3 linked regions of the Rattus norvegicus genome follow. Each later gene encodes a partner of the first gene's protein in a complex. Links are inferred from orthologs where the notes say so. Each region holds a gene or a part of one and is shown in the gene's direction. Other genes may lie near its edges.

What was found.
Region 2: the proteins of Ap3d1 (region 1) and Ap3s1 are in contact, whole or in part, in a cryo-EM structure (PDB 9C5C), measured with the Homo sapiens proteins. The link is inferred for Rattus norvegicus from reciprocal best matches to the Homo sapiens genes AP3D1 and AP3S1. Residues at the interface, in NP_003929.4 of Homo sapiens: Leu18, Gln19, Val22, Arg26, Cys60, Thr63, Tyr64, Gln66, Met67, Leu68, Gly69, Tyr70, Asp71, Ile72, Ser73, Lys87, Phe88, Thr89, Arg92, Ile93, Leu96, Gln100, His103, Tyr126, Leu132, Thr133, Ser136, Tyr161, Lys164, Lys165; in NP_001275.1 of Homo sapiens: Met1, Lys13, Pro14, Arg15, Leu16, Ser17, Lys18, Phe19, Pro22, Tyr23, Glu25, Asp26, Gln28, Gln29, Arg42, Asp43, Glu44, Asn45, Val46, Cys47, Asn48, Phe49, Ser80, Glu81, Ser82, Glu83, Leu84, Gly85, Leu87, Asp88.
Region 3: the proteins of Ap3d1 (region 1) and Arf1 are in contact, whole or in part, in a cryo-EM structure (PDB 9C5B), measured with the Homo sapiens proteins. The link is inferred for Rattus norvegicus from reciprocal best matches to the Homo sapiens genes AP3D1 and ARF1. Residues at the interface, in NP_003929.4 of Homo sapiens: Lys48, Asp50, Phe77, Ile80, Glu81, Ser84, Asp107, Met110, Leu111, Thr112, Thr113, Asn114, Gln115, Arg117, Lys118; in NP_001019397.1 of Homo sapiens: Tyr35, Ile46, Pro47, Thr48, Ile49, Gly50, Phe51, Asn52, Val53, Glu54, Trp66, Lys73, Ile74, Leu77, His80, Tyr81, Gln83, Asn84.

What each region holds. Positions count from the first base shown.
Region 1 is NC_086025.1:9,620,043-9,623,789, forward strand, and holds the start of Ap3d1 (AP-3 complex subunit delta-1), read left to right. Parts: upstream 1-952; 5' UTR 953-1,188; coding exon 1,189-1,284; intron 1,285-3,747. UniProt on the Homo sapiens protein: Part of the AP-3 complex, an adaptor-related complex which is not clathrin-associated. The complex is associated with the Golgi region as well as more peripheral structures.
Region 2 is NC_086036.1:41,708,274-41,711,920, forward strand, and holds part of Ap3s1 (AP-3 complex subunit sigma-1), read left to right. Parts: intron 1-174; coding exon 175-282; intron 283-3,184; coding exon of another isoform or gene 3,185-3,220; exon of another isoform or gene 3,221-3,225; intron 3,226-3,647. UniProt on the Homo sapiens protein: Part of the AP-3 complex, an adaptor-related complex which is not clathrin-associated. The complex is associated with the Golgi region as well as more peripheral structures.
Region 3 is NC_086028.1:44,511,549-44,515,295, reverse strand, and holds the start of Arf1 (ADP-ribosylation factor 1), read left to right. Parts: upstream 1-1,301; 5' UTR 1,302-1,345; exon of another isoform or gene 1,346-1,637; intron 1,638-3,747. UniProt on the Homo sapiens protein: Small GTPase involved in protein trafficking between different compartments. Modulates vesicle budding and uncoating within the Golgi complex. In its GTP-bound form, triggers the recruitment of coatomer proteins to the Golgi membrane.

The sequences.
Region 1 (3,747 bases):
TGTATATGAGAACACTGTAGCTGTCTTCAGACACACTAGAAGAAGGCATCAGATCTCATTACAGATGTTGTGAGCCACCATGTGGTTGCTGGGATTTGAACTCAGGACCTCTGGAAGAGCAGTCAGTGCTCTTAATCACCGAGCCATCTCTCCAGCCCTATTATATCTTTCTAGAAGGCAAAACAACCTAAACCATCTCTTTAAACTTTCTATCAACTACCCTAACATCTTAAAACTATTTAAGGGCTGGAGAGATGCCCATTAACATCGTAGTAGATACAGGAGACATATAGCAATGACAAACATGAGGCGGCACAGCAGCAGCGAGAGGTAATCTAGAGATGACCGCCTCAGGGGCTGTGCCTCTTCAGGAACACCCATCACAGCTGTCCAAAACGGTGGACCATCTCCAGGAAAACTCACTTGCCCCCCACAGTTCCTCCTACATGGTGTTCACCATCCAAGCCTTGTGTTGGTCTTTTCCGACAGCGTTTCACATAGCACAGGACGGCCGGTTAGACTGCTGGTCTGGTGTAACTGACTCTTGACACCAATTCCCAAGTCACCACTTCAGAAAAGGAGGAGCTGGATATACTTTACCCGGACCTTGCAGAAAAAGCTCCACGTGGAGCCCCGCCCTCCTCTAGCCACGCCCACTCCAACCCTGTCCACGCCCACTGCTGTTATTTAGCTGAGTGGGGAGGCTGGCTCGCGGTTTTCCCTTAGGGGCGTGGTTAGAACGTGTATGTGGGGAGCTTGCTCACCAATGAGGTTGCAAGGCACTGCAGAGGAAGGGGTGGGCCGCCAGGCATCAAAGGGCGGTGTCTGCTTTCTTATTGGGCGGTATATGGTTGTCAAGGAAACTGATGTGTGGGGTCGGGCTTTCTGGTGAGGCGGGGCTTCCGGGACGCCGAGGCTCTCCGTCAGCTGACCCACCGCCATCTTGGCCGCCATTTGCGGGTGGCCCTGAGCAGGGAAGGGTCTGCGGAAGCGGGGGCTAACTCGCTGCCCCTTCTCCTCAGACTGGTCTCCGGCCACAGCCGTCGCTCTGGCCTCCACGTCGTCCTCTCCGCGGCGGCCGGAAACGCAGCGGGGCGGTCGCCTGAGGTGCGGTCGCCGGGTCCCCGCACCTCCCAGGGCCGCGGCGGCGGCGTTCCCCTCGGAGGCCACAGCCCACGGGCCGCCGCGATGGCCCTCAAGATGGTCAAGGGCAGTATCGACCGCATGTTCGACAAGAACCTGCAGGATCTGGTCCGCGGCATCCGCAACCACAAGGAGGACGAGGTGAGCCGGCGCGGAGTGGGGTTGCCCGGCTTTTCCCCACAGCCTATAGCCTCTGGCCCGCCTTGGAGCAGCCTCCTCGACCCCATCGCCATTCCGGCCCTGCCTGTTTAGGAGCTGCGGCTCTGCACAACCTCTCCTTCCCCTGGCCTCTGTTTACCCCCACCAGCTTGAAATGGATGCTGTCCAAAACGGCTCAGGTGCCTCGTCTGTTATAACTAGGGTCCACTCCCGGAGCCTCCCAAATGTCCACTTGGAGCAGTCGCTGTCATAAGACCTAAGCGTCTTAGGCCTTACAGTTGGGTGCACTGCTTGAGCCTGAGTTTACCTTCTTGGAGAAGATTTACTTAGGCAAAGGTTCTCCCACTTGGGCTTGTTTCTGGATCACATATGGAGGAATCGGGACCCTCACAGAAAAATCAAGTCATAGGTCTACGTGTCTCCCATGGAGAAATTCCCTTGTCCGGGGACATAGGTCCAGGTTGCTGTCTTGGGCTTACTTGGGAACTTGCCAGGTGTCCCTGCCTCAGATCCCCTGAACTATCAGTGTTTGCAGGACCTAGGGGCGTGTTGGAATGGAGAAGCCTGACTTTAAAACTGGAAGCTCAAAAAAGGCAAAAGTCAGGGTGTGGAAGCAATTTTTTTTCCAGAAGTTAGGCTGTGACCACGAGCATTACTTCCTTTCCTCCCCACAGTCTGTGACCTAGATTAAGGAAGAAGTGATAGAGTGGCTGCCCAGTGCCTGGCTCAGTGGAAAGACAGGCTTCCTCCGGGGCAGGAAGGCCATGCTGAAAGAGGGTGTCCGTGACAGGTACCTGCTGGCCCCTGCTTGCTATGTGAGGTCAGGAAGCAGGCCCCTGGCTGGGACAGTCAGCCCTCTGTAGCCCTCTCCCTTCTACCCTACCTGGTCTGGTTTGTACCCTCCCTGCTCTCCCTGGCTGTTACTTCAGGTGAAATAGCTGGTTGGCCAGTGTGTGGTTGGCCTGTGCATGGACTGCCCTATGTGAAATTTCCTTTGTACTCTTCTGTGGCCCTCTGTGCTCTCGAGGGCCTCCAGGTTTCCCTCTTGTCAGTGTCCCCAGGGAGCTGTCTTGGGACCCTGAGACCGGTCACATTCTAATTTGAGTACCTGAAACAAGCTCTAGCCAGGGACATAGCCTGGGCTGGCTGGAAGCTCATGATACTCCTGCCTTGTCCTTCTTCCTGCCGGGATTACTGATTTTGAGGTGTGTGTGTTTTGCTCTTCATATTCCCTACCCTGCCATACATGCAAGGCTCAGTAGTGCAGACTAGGTGGGCACAGAAAGCCCTCCAGGCCCTCAGGTTCTATGTGGCTTCTGCTGCTGGGTGCTAAGATTTTGGTTGTGAGTCTACCTTTAACAGCTGAACCATCTCTCCCAACCAACATGGCTGGCCAGTCTGAGGTTGCTTGGGTCCTCTGTCCCTCCTCAGGGACCATCTTTAAGTTCCTGTGCGTGTTATCCGGCTCATTGCGGACTGCAGGTACTCTCCTTTGGAGGTGCTGATGTAGTGCATTGCCTTCTGGCCAAGCTTGTAGCACAAGTCATGCAGTGACCATTCTCTGCTCTACACTCTGGTTGACATAGGTCTCACTGTATAACCCTGGCGGTTATAACTCTTCTGCCTTACAAGTACTTAAAATGCTGGTATGTGCACTTGGAAGTTTTGTGGGGTTTTAGTTTTGTTTTGAGGTGATCTTTTTTGTTTTTTGTTTTTTGTTTTTTTTTAACCAAGACAGGGTTTCTCTGTGTAGCCCTGGCTATCCTGGAACTCACTCTGTAGACCAGGCTGGCTTTGAATTCACAGAGATCTGCCTGCCTCTAGAGTGCTGGCATCAAAGGCATATGCCACCATGCCCAGCTTGAGATGATTTTTTTTAATATTTATTTATTTTATGTATGTGAATCCACTGTCACTGTCTCAGACACCAGAAGAGGGCATCACTGCATCCCATTACAGATGGCTGTGAGCCACTGTGTGGTTGCTGGGAATTGAACTCAGGACCTCAGGAGAGAAGACAGTGCTTTTTTTTTTTTTTTTTTTAAATATTTATTTTATTTATTATATATGAGTACACTGTAGCTGTCTTCAGATACACCAGATCTCTTTACAGATGGTTGTGAGCCACCATGTGGTTGCTGGGAATTGAACTCATGACCTCTGGAAGAGCAGTCGGGTGCTCTTAACCGCTGAGCCATCTCTCCAGCCCGAAGACAGTGCTCTTAACCACTGATCCATCTCTGTAGCCTGAGATGATCTTTGTATTTAAAAAAAAAAAATTATTGCCAGGTGTGGTGGCGATAGCTATGGATGGAGAGCCTCAAGTGGATGCAGGGAATTAAACCCGGGTCCCCTAGAAGAGCAGCAAGTCCTTGTCTGCTCTATCTCTGCAGCCCTTTCGAGATGGTTGTACTCTAACTTCGGGGGGGGGGGGCAACAACTCAC
Region 2 (3,647 bases), on another chromosome or scaffold:
CTCAATAAACTTAAGACTCACGTAGGTCATGTAATTGCCTGAAGTTCATAGTACGATGAGAGTGAACTTTGAGCCTTCATTACAAATTATTTCACTAGTTTTTAAAACAAAGATTACCAAAACAAAGAAACTTTTTGTAGTGATTCGTCTGTTTATATTAATTTTTTCTCTTAGGTTCATAATATTCTTGCAGAAATGGTGATGGGGGGAATGGTATTGGAGACCAACATGAATGAGATTGTCACACAAATTGATGCACAAAATAAACTGGAGAAATCTGAGGTAAGACTGGGAAATGCTCTGGTTTGTGAGGGTTTGGAGCATGACCAGGAGCTATTTTTATTTATGACTTCATAGCCATCACTGCTTGCCCTTCAGTATCAATCCTTAGGTACAGTTGAGTACCCATTCAGGTTCAGAAAATGAGTAAGCCCATTGCAGTATGTCAAAATGTCCCAAGACTGCTAATCTCTAAATAGCTTTATGTATTTCTTTAACCACAGTGGTAGCTGCCTTCAAATATAGTTTTAAGGGGGAAAGGAGAGGAAATAGAATTGTTCTGAGCAAGTCATGTTTTATAATAGGTGTTTGGTCAAACTGCATATTGAGACAAAGAAATTTAGTTCCTTAAATCTTTTTTAGATCCTTCCCAAAGGTCAGTAACAGGTTTGTTAAGTTTTATAGTTTATATGTTAATACATACATTTTATTGTATTCTATAATGGAAACAAACATGTTTGTGGCTAACTCTGTGCTGTTAGATTCAGCCTCAATAGGTTGAGTAAGGACATTTGTACTTTAGAACTTTAGTCACTTCTCTCAAGAGCTAGACTTCAGATCAGTGGCAGGTGCTGCACCGGACTGTTTAAGTTTCCATTATCTTGGTGGCTGCTACTTAGGGCACAAGTTTAGACCCATGAGCAGTCTCTATACCTTATCCAGTATTGTATTTAATGAAGGCACTCTTTGACTTGTTATTTGAGACAGGCTCACCGTGCTGTCCTGGTATTCACAGAGATCCACCTGTCTCTGTGTCCTGGGTATTGGGATTTCAAATCATGTATTACCATACCCAGCCTTTAAGGGTACTCTTACATTCTATAACCAAGATTGGAAAGAGAACACAACAGCAGCAATCATAGTCACATGATTATTAGTGCAAGGTCAGTTTCAAGTCAATATTATTATCAAAGGAGTAGGATTAATACACTAAATTAATTTACAACAGGTGAGTTCTGAAAATGTCTTGTTCATATTTAAAGTTCAGTTTGATAAACTTTTATACTCATTTTAATTGAAGAAAATGCGGGATATGAGCCAGAAAAAGTTGAAGCTCCTTATAAAAACACTTTCCTGTGTTTTAAAGTAAAGGTAGACTTCTATTTCTCTTTTATCTCACTTGGCCACCCCTATTGGTCTCCAAAGGAGATGCTTGTGATGGGGATGAAGAGCTTAAAGACAGGACCCATAAAGTAACTGTGTATCACATTTGTTCTACCACCTGTTTTTACATTATGACTTTTGAAAGCAGAAAATATGCAGTATATTATTAGAGAAGTTTTGTGTTAGATCAAGGAAAAGAACAGTGTTATTTAGTATATTTATTTACAACATTACTCAGCACAGTAAAAGAAAAGCTATTGAATTTATTAAAGTTTTAAAATGTTGACTTGAAATGTATGCAAATTGTTCAGCATTGCTTCCCTAAACTACATTAGTAGTTTAAATGCCAAGGCCACAATAACATAATGCCTCAATGGTTGCTCTAAAATACAGGCTTAATTTGTGAACTCTCTAATCTGTAAACACACATTAGTCACATGGCTGGTTTTTCATATTTTAGGGACTCATTTCTTATCAGTGGTGGTCCCTCCTTTCCTCCTTTCTTTCCTTTTCTTTTCATTCTCCTGTTTCCTTTTGCTCTGCATAGTGTTTTGTATAGTATTTGTAAAGGTCATGGGTAAGAAGTAAATTCTGCATCTTTGTTTTTTTTATTTTTCCAGTAGAATATATTAATAAGACAGTTTTTATTAGCTATGGAGAGTGGCAAGATGCAGAATTAATATTTTTGGTGGGAATGCTATAGTTTTATAAAATTACTATGCAAAAATATTTTTCACAGGCTTAAACTTGTTTAAATAGTTTAAAATATTGATGTATGCTTCTAGTGGTCATCCTTTGGCCATGTTTTAATATATATAATCAGCTGTTATTTTCTGTCAGATTAGTAGTTTTACATATGTATGTACTTTGCAAGAAGATATGGTTTAATCAGATAAGGATTAAACCACCAAATTATGTTACATCCTATTTCTTGAAATAGTGTTAAAATTATATTGACTTTGTGAATGTTGTCATTAACTAAACTATATTTTCAATGTTGGAAGACTACACACTAAAGTTCAAGTCTTCATATTTTCATATTCAAGTCTTCAAGAATTGAATTATTTAATTCTTTTAGTTAACTTCAGGTATGTAGCTCCACAGACTAACCCAAAATGATTTGAGAGCAGAGTATTAATTTCTTCTTAAATTATTACAAAGCAAAAATAACAAGGAAGACATAACTAAAATTTTGATTGGTAAAAAGAATTGATCATATTTTTAAAATTCATATGAACTGTTTTAGGATTGTCTTCTAGCTTTTGAAAAATCACCCTGAATATAATTAACTTACAGCATTTAAAGTATGAATTTATCTAGGTTACCTGTTTTAATAATTCAATAGTGACTATTTTAATAATTAAATATGGTGTCTTTAAGGCAGGGAGTTTCAGTGATGGAAGAAAGTGACCAGTTTAATTCCTAGTTATCTAGACAGGACAGGTCTGCCCACCCTGAAGGAGGAGAGAGGCAAAGGCATGCACAGTGTATTTTCATCTATGGTGATTTGATAGGAAAAAATGGTTTATTGTCTTTTGGGGATTTTGGGAAAGAGGGTTTAAGCTGGGAGGTTGGTGGGTTTCGGGAAACTTGAGAGTCACCCAGTAATCTGCCAGGGAATATAAGGAATTCTGGGGGTGGTAGAGGGTGGGGTGGGAGACTTGTTGGAATTATGTATTTCGTGTTGTTATTCTTAAGGTGGATAAATGGATCTGAATTTAGTGACTACTTTTTAAGTCAGTCCTCCTTTTTTCCTGAACATCCTGATCTTTCTAGCTCTTTCCATTCTTCTCTCTTACAGACCTTTATCTTTCAGTCTCCCAGACAGGACAGGTAGACAAGGTATTGCTGACTTTGAGAAAACGTACTTAACAAAGGGAAAGCAAAATGATGTCGAAGGCAATTACTTTTTAGGCCAGACTCAAAAATTCTTTGTGTTAATGAACCCATATAGTCCCTGTAGCCTATTTTCCATTCTAGTTTCTCCTTGTAGTTTCTCCATCTTTTATTGGACGTAGTGTATTTTACTAGTATATCATTGGCGTCATGTTTGTTCTGTTTTGTCTGCCTGCATTGTAAAAGGAAAATTTTAATTCTTTGTTTTTTTTTTTGTAAAAACATGATCATTTAATTGTAAAGTTACATTTGTAGAAATGACAGTGTACTTTATATATAAAAAGTTAATTTTGAGCATCCCTTTAGCAGAACCAATCTCAGATAGATAGAGAGAAAGAGAAAGAGAGAGACAGACAGAGAGACAGAGA
Region 3 (3,747 bases), on another chromosome or scaffold:
CATTAGGATAAAGAGGACTACCACCCTGTCTCTACTTCTTCAGTTTTGCCTTTTTAGGTACAGAAAGGGAGTTTGGTTCTTGATGAACCTGTGGTTTTTCTAGACACCCCATTTCTTTGTCTCCTTATCCATGAAGTGGCTAAGACAGGCTTCTGACATGGCTGAAATCTCAGGCCTCTGGAAACGTCCTGCCATTTCTCCAGGGTGTGTATAGGCAGCACCACCTTATGTTTTTCACAAACACTTGCTGTGTGCTGAGGGTGGGAGAGAACAGGCAGGTGCCCCCAGAGAAATTTACAGAAGCAGCATTTAAAAATGGAGCCCTGAGTGATGGAAAGGGATGCGTTTAGGGTCAAGAAGGTGATTATTGCATAGAATCCTGGCAGGCTCACAACTCTGGGGAGGGTTCTAGAGGTCTCAACCCGCAAACGCAGTGAGGATGCCCTGCACCCTGTGTCTTGACACAACAGTGGCTGAAGTAAGCCCAGGCAACACAATTGCCTCCTGCCAACTCAATAGATAAGGCTCCAGGCTCAAAAGAATCTCCTAAGTCCCTCAAAATCTCCTGCCTGTGGGAGTCCTCACAACAGCACATGGAGTGGAAGAACTGGACAGGGAGGACAGAACCTGGGCCTCACTCCAGCACAGATGGGGAGAGTTAACGGATTCCACCTTCTCTCCTGCACCCTGAAGGAGGCCACCCCATTAGGGGCAACCCAGAGTAGCCTCTCAGGCAGTGCTATGCCCGCACAGGTCTCTAGTCCTCTCAGTCAGCTCTGAGTGTGCACACGGGTCCAAGACGAGTGTAGGGACATGGTGTTTGTCTGACATTTGGCCTGTGCTTCTTCCCACTTTGGCCATTTGTCTGTTACATCATTCTCTTCAATGCCCCGACTCAGCTGAAGTATCAGAGACCCTGGGGTACTCTGAGAAGGACATCACACTCCCAGGGGTAACACGACCTTCCCACTCTGACCTTGGCGCTCTAGAACGCTTACTGGCCTCAACCCCCGCATCCGCGGAATGGGCTGGAATTCCGCAGGAAGATGCGCGTGCGCACGCGCCGTAGGACAGGGAAATCCATGCACCACACCCTTGCGCGTTCTAATCTCCGGAGCCGGTGTGCTAGCCCGGGACCCGATCCGGAAACAGAGCGACTTTGGCTCCACCCAACGAAGGCGTCAGGGTGCAGACGCGCAAGCGCTATTCGTGAAGGGGCGGGGCCTCCTGCGTGCCCGCCCTCTTCCCCCGGCGTGCCCCGCGGCAGGCGCTGACGTGGCTGCCGTCAGCGCCGCCATCTTGTGGGAGCGAAACCAACGCCTGGCTGGGAGCAGCCGCCGCGGAGGTGAGAAGCGGGGCTCTCTGAGGCCGAAGCTGGGGAGGCCACGGGCTGGTCATCGTGGGAATCGCGGGGCTCTCGGCTGCGGCTGCTAAGGACCGAGTCTGGTCGGGCGGCCTGAGGTCTGTGCTCAGTGGGCTCGGCGGCAGGCCGGACAGAAGATCAGGGCGCCCCCAAGTCCCGCGTCGCCCACGGCCGCTTGGCCCTCCCCCACTCCGCGGCCCTTACGCCAGGCCGCCCGCCGCGGGCCGCAGCCCGGAAGTCCGGCCAGGACGCCGGCTCTTCTCCAGGAAGCCAGGTTTCCTGCTGTTCCTCTCTGCGCCCTTCCTAGGCTCCACGGCCCGGGAGCCCGTTGCGGGGAGCAGGGCTCGGGGGTCACGGAGTTTCCCTTCTTAAAGGCTAACCGGCAGCTTCAGAAACGGCATGAGCCTTGGGCCTGGGGAAACTGAGGCTCGGGTGGCCCTGAGACGGCGTCAAGGTCACTCGGGTGTCGAGGTCTTCCTCCTCTGTCTCTCGAGTCCTGTTCCTGTCGGCCTAGAGGACCGAAGTTGTAGGAAGGGGGAAGGGAAAGGGACAGGTGTCGGACAGGGACTCGGAACTGATGACCGGGTGCTGGGATTTAACACATATTCGGATCTCAGGGGATCCCAGAATGCCCACTGTGATCCCCAATTAGCCGTGATTTGGCCCCGCATACCCTCGATGAGATCTGCAATGGGGTCTGCACTCTAGAGCCCAGTGGCCTCTGGAGGGGTTTGAGCGTTATTTCGCCTCTTGGCTGACTCCCTTTATGCTTTTGGTGGATTAGAAAAGGCCATTCTGAATTGGAGAATCTTTAACCTGCCCATGGAATAACCTGCTCCCAGCCTCTGAGCAATATGCAGGTACAGAGGCCAGATCCAGTACAGGATTCTGGCTGTCTATTCAGGATGGTCATGCCATGTCAGGTTGTAATGTACATATGTTATGTGGTCTAGCCACATATAACAAACACTAAATGCCAGGGAATCTGCTTGCATCAAGAAGGAATTCTCCCATTCAAACAGCAAGTGGCTGCTTTGTCAGGAAAGGAAGGGTCAGCTGCATTTGGTCCCAGAAGTCACTGGAGGGCCCAGTAGTTGATGCCACAACCCATGTTGGAGTAGTCTGTTGTAGTTCTTGTTTCACAAGTAGTAGTGGTCAGCAGTTTTTCCTGCAGGCTGATTCTGGTGTTTTCTGCTGTGACTGTCAGAATGGTGAGATGCCATGGTGCTTTGTGTGCTGGCCTCATGTCTCTCCACTGTCTTAACCAGTATCTACAGTGTCTGACATGGGTGACTGTAAAGTCCTCACCTTTGAGCTTTTAGCAGGGCTATTAGAAATAGCCTAGACTGTGAGATTTGATGCACAGTATTACTACCTGGTTTCTGCTGTGGTCAAGGGCCAATCGCAGATGTGGGAGCTACATTGTTGGAGTTACATTGTCTCCACAGCATAAAGGTTTCCCTCATTGGAATGTCGATCACTTAGCCTTAGGTTTGAAAATGGGTCTGAGTCACTGGATCATCACATTGTTCTCTTGTTTGTGAGGCAGATGTACAGAATTGCTACTTCAAAAAGGTTTAGGAGCGGAATAGTAGAGTGCTTTTCTAGCCTGCATGAAGTCTTGGTTTGGTCTCTAGCACTGCACACAAGGTTTAAGACAGTGTGAATAACAGCTGACTCATACTCAGTCTACTCATCCTGAGAGGAAAGTAGCAATAACTAGTTCTGTGCCCCACACACACAGTTCTAATTGTAAAATCATGCAGCTGGGATGTCCACTACACCTCTTGCACCTTGTAGAATGGATGTCCACAATCTTCACTCCAATGGGCTGCTTCCTCTGCCCAGGACCAGACAGGCTTCAAAACACCTTTTTTTTTTTTTTTTTTTAATGTAAAGGTAAATTAGACAAGCAGTTGCTATGGTAACACAGTGTCAGGAAGCCTAACCAAGAGAAAAAACTTGTTGTGCAAGTTCATGCAATAGCTTGTTACAATGGTTTGAAAGTGTTGGGTCAAGTTGTTTTTTTTTTTTTTTTTTTTTTCTTTCAGATTCTTAGAATTAAATGTTACATTGATGAGCAGGGTTTTTCTGTGTCCCCTGGCTGTCCTGAAACTCCCTCTTGAGACCAGGCTGGCCTCATACTCAGAAATCTGCCTCCATAGTTGGAATTAAAGACATAAGCTACCACCTCCTGGCTCTGATACACAGGTTTAAATCTACTCTTAATCACAAGGGCTATGTCATTTGCACTGAGGAGCCATCAGTGAGTCCCATTAGACCCAGCGTGCTCTAGGCTGCTATGTCATTCATGGTCTTTCTTCCCTGTTGGCTTTCTTGAATCCCTTTGAGCTTTTATATTCATGAAATTGTTAGAGATGGTG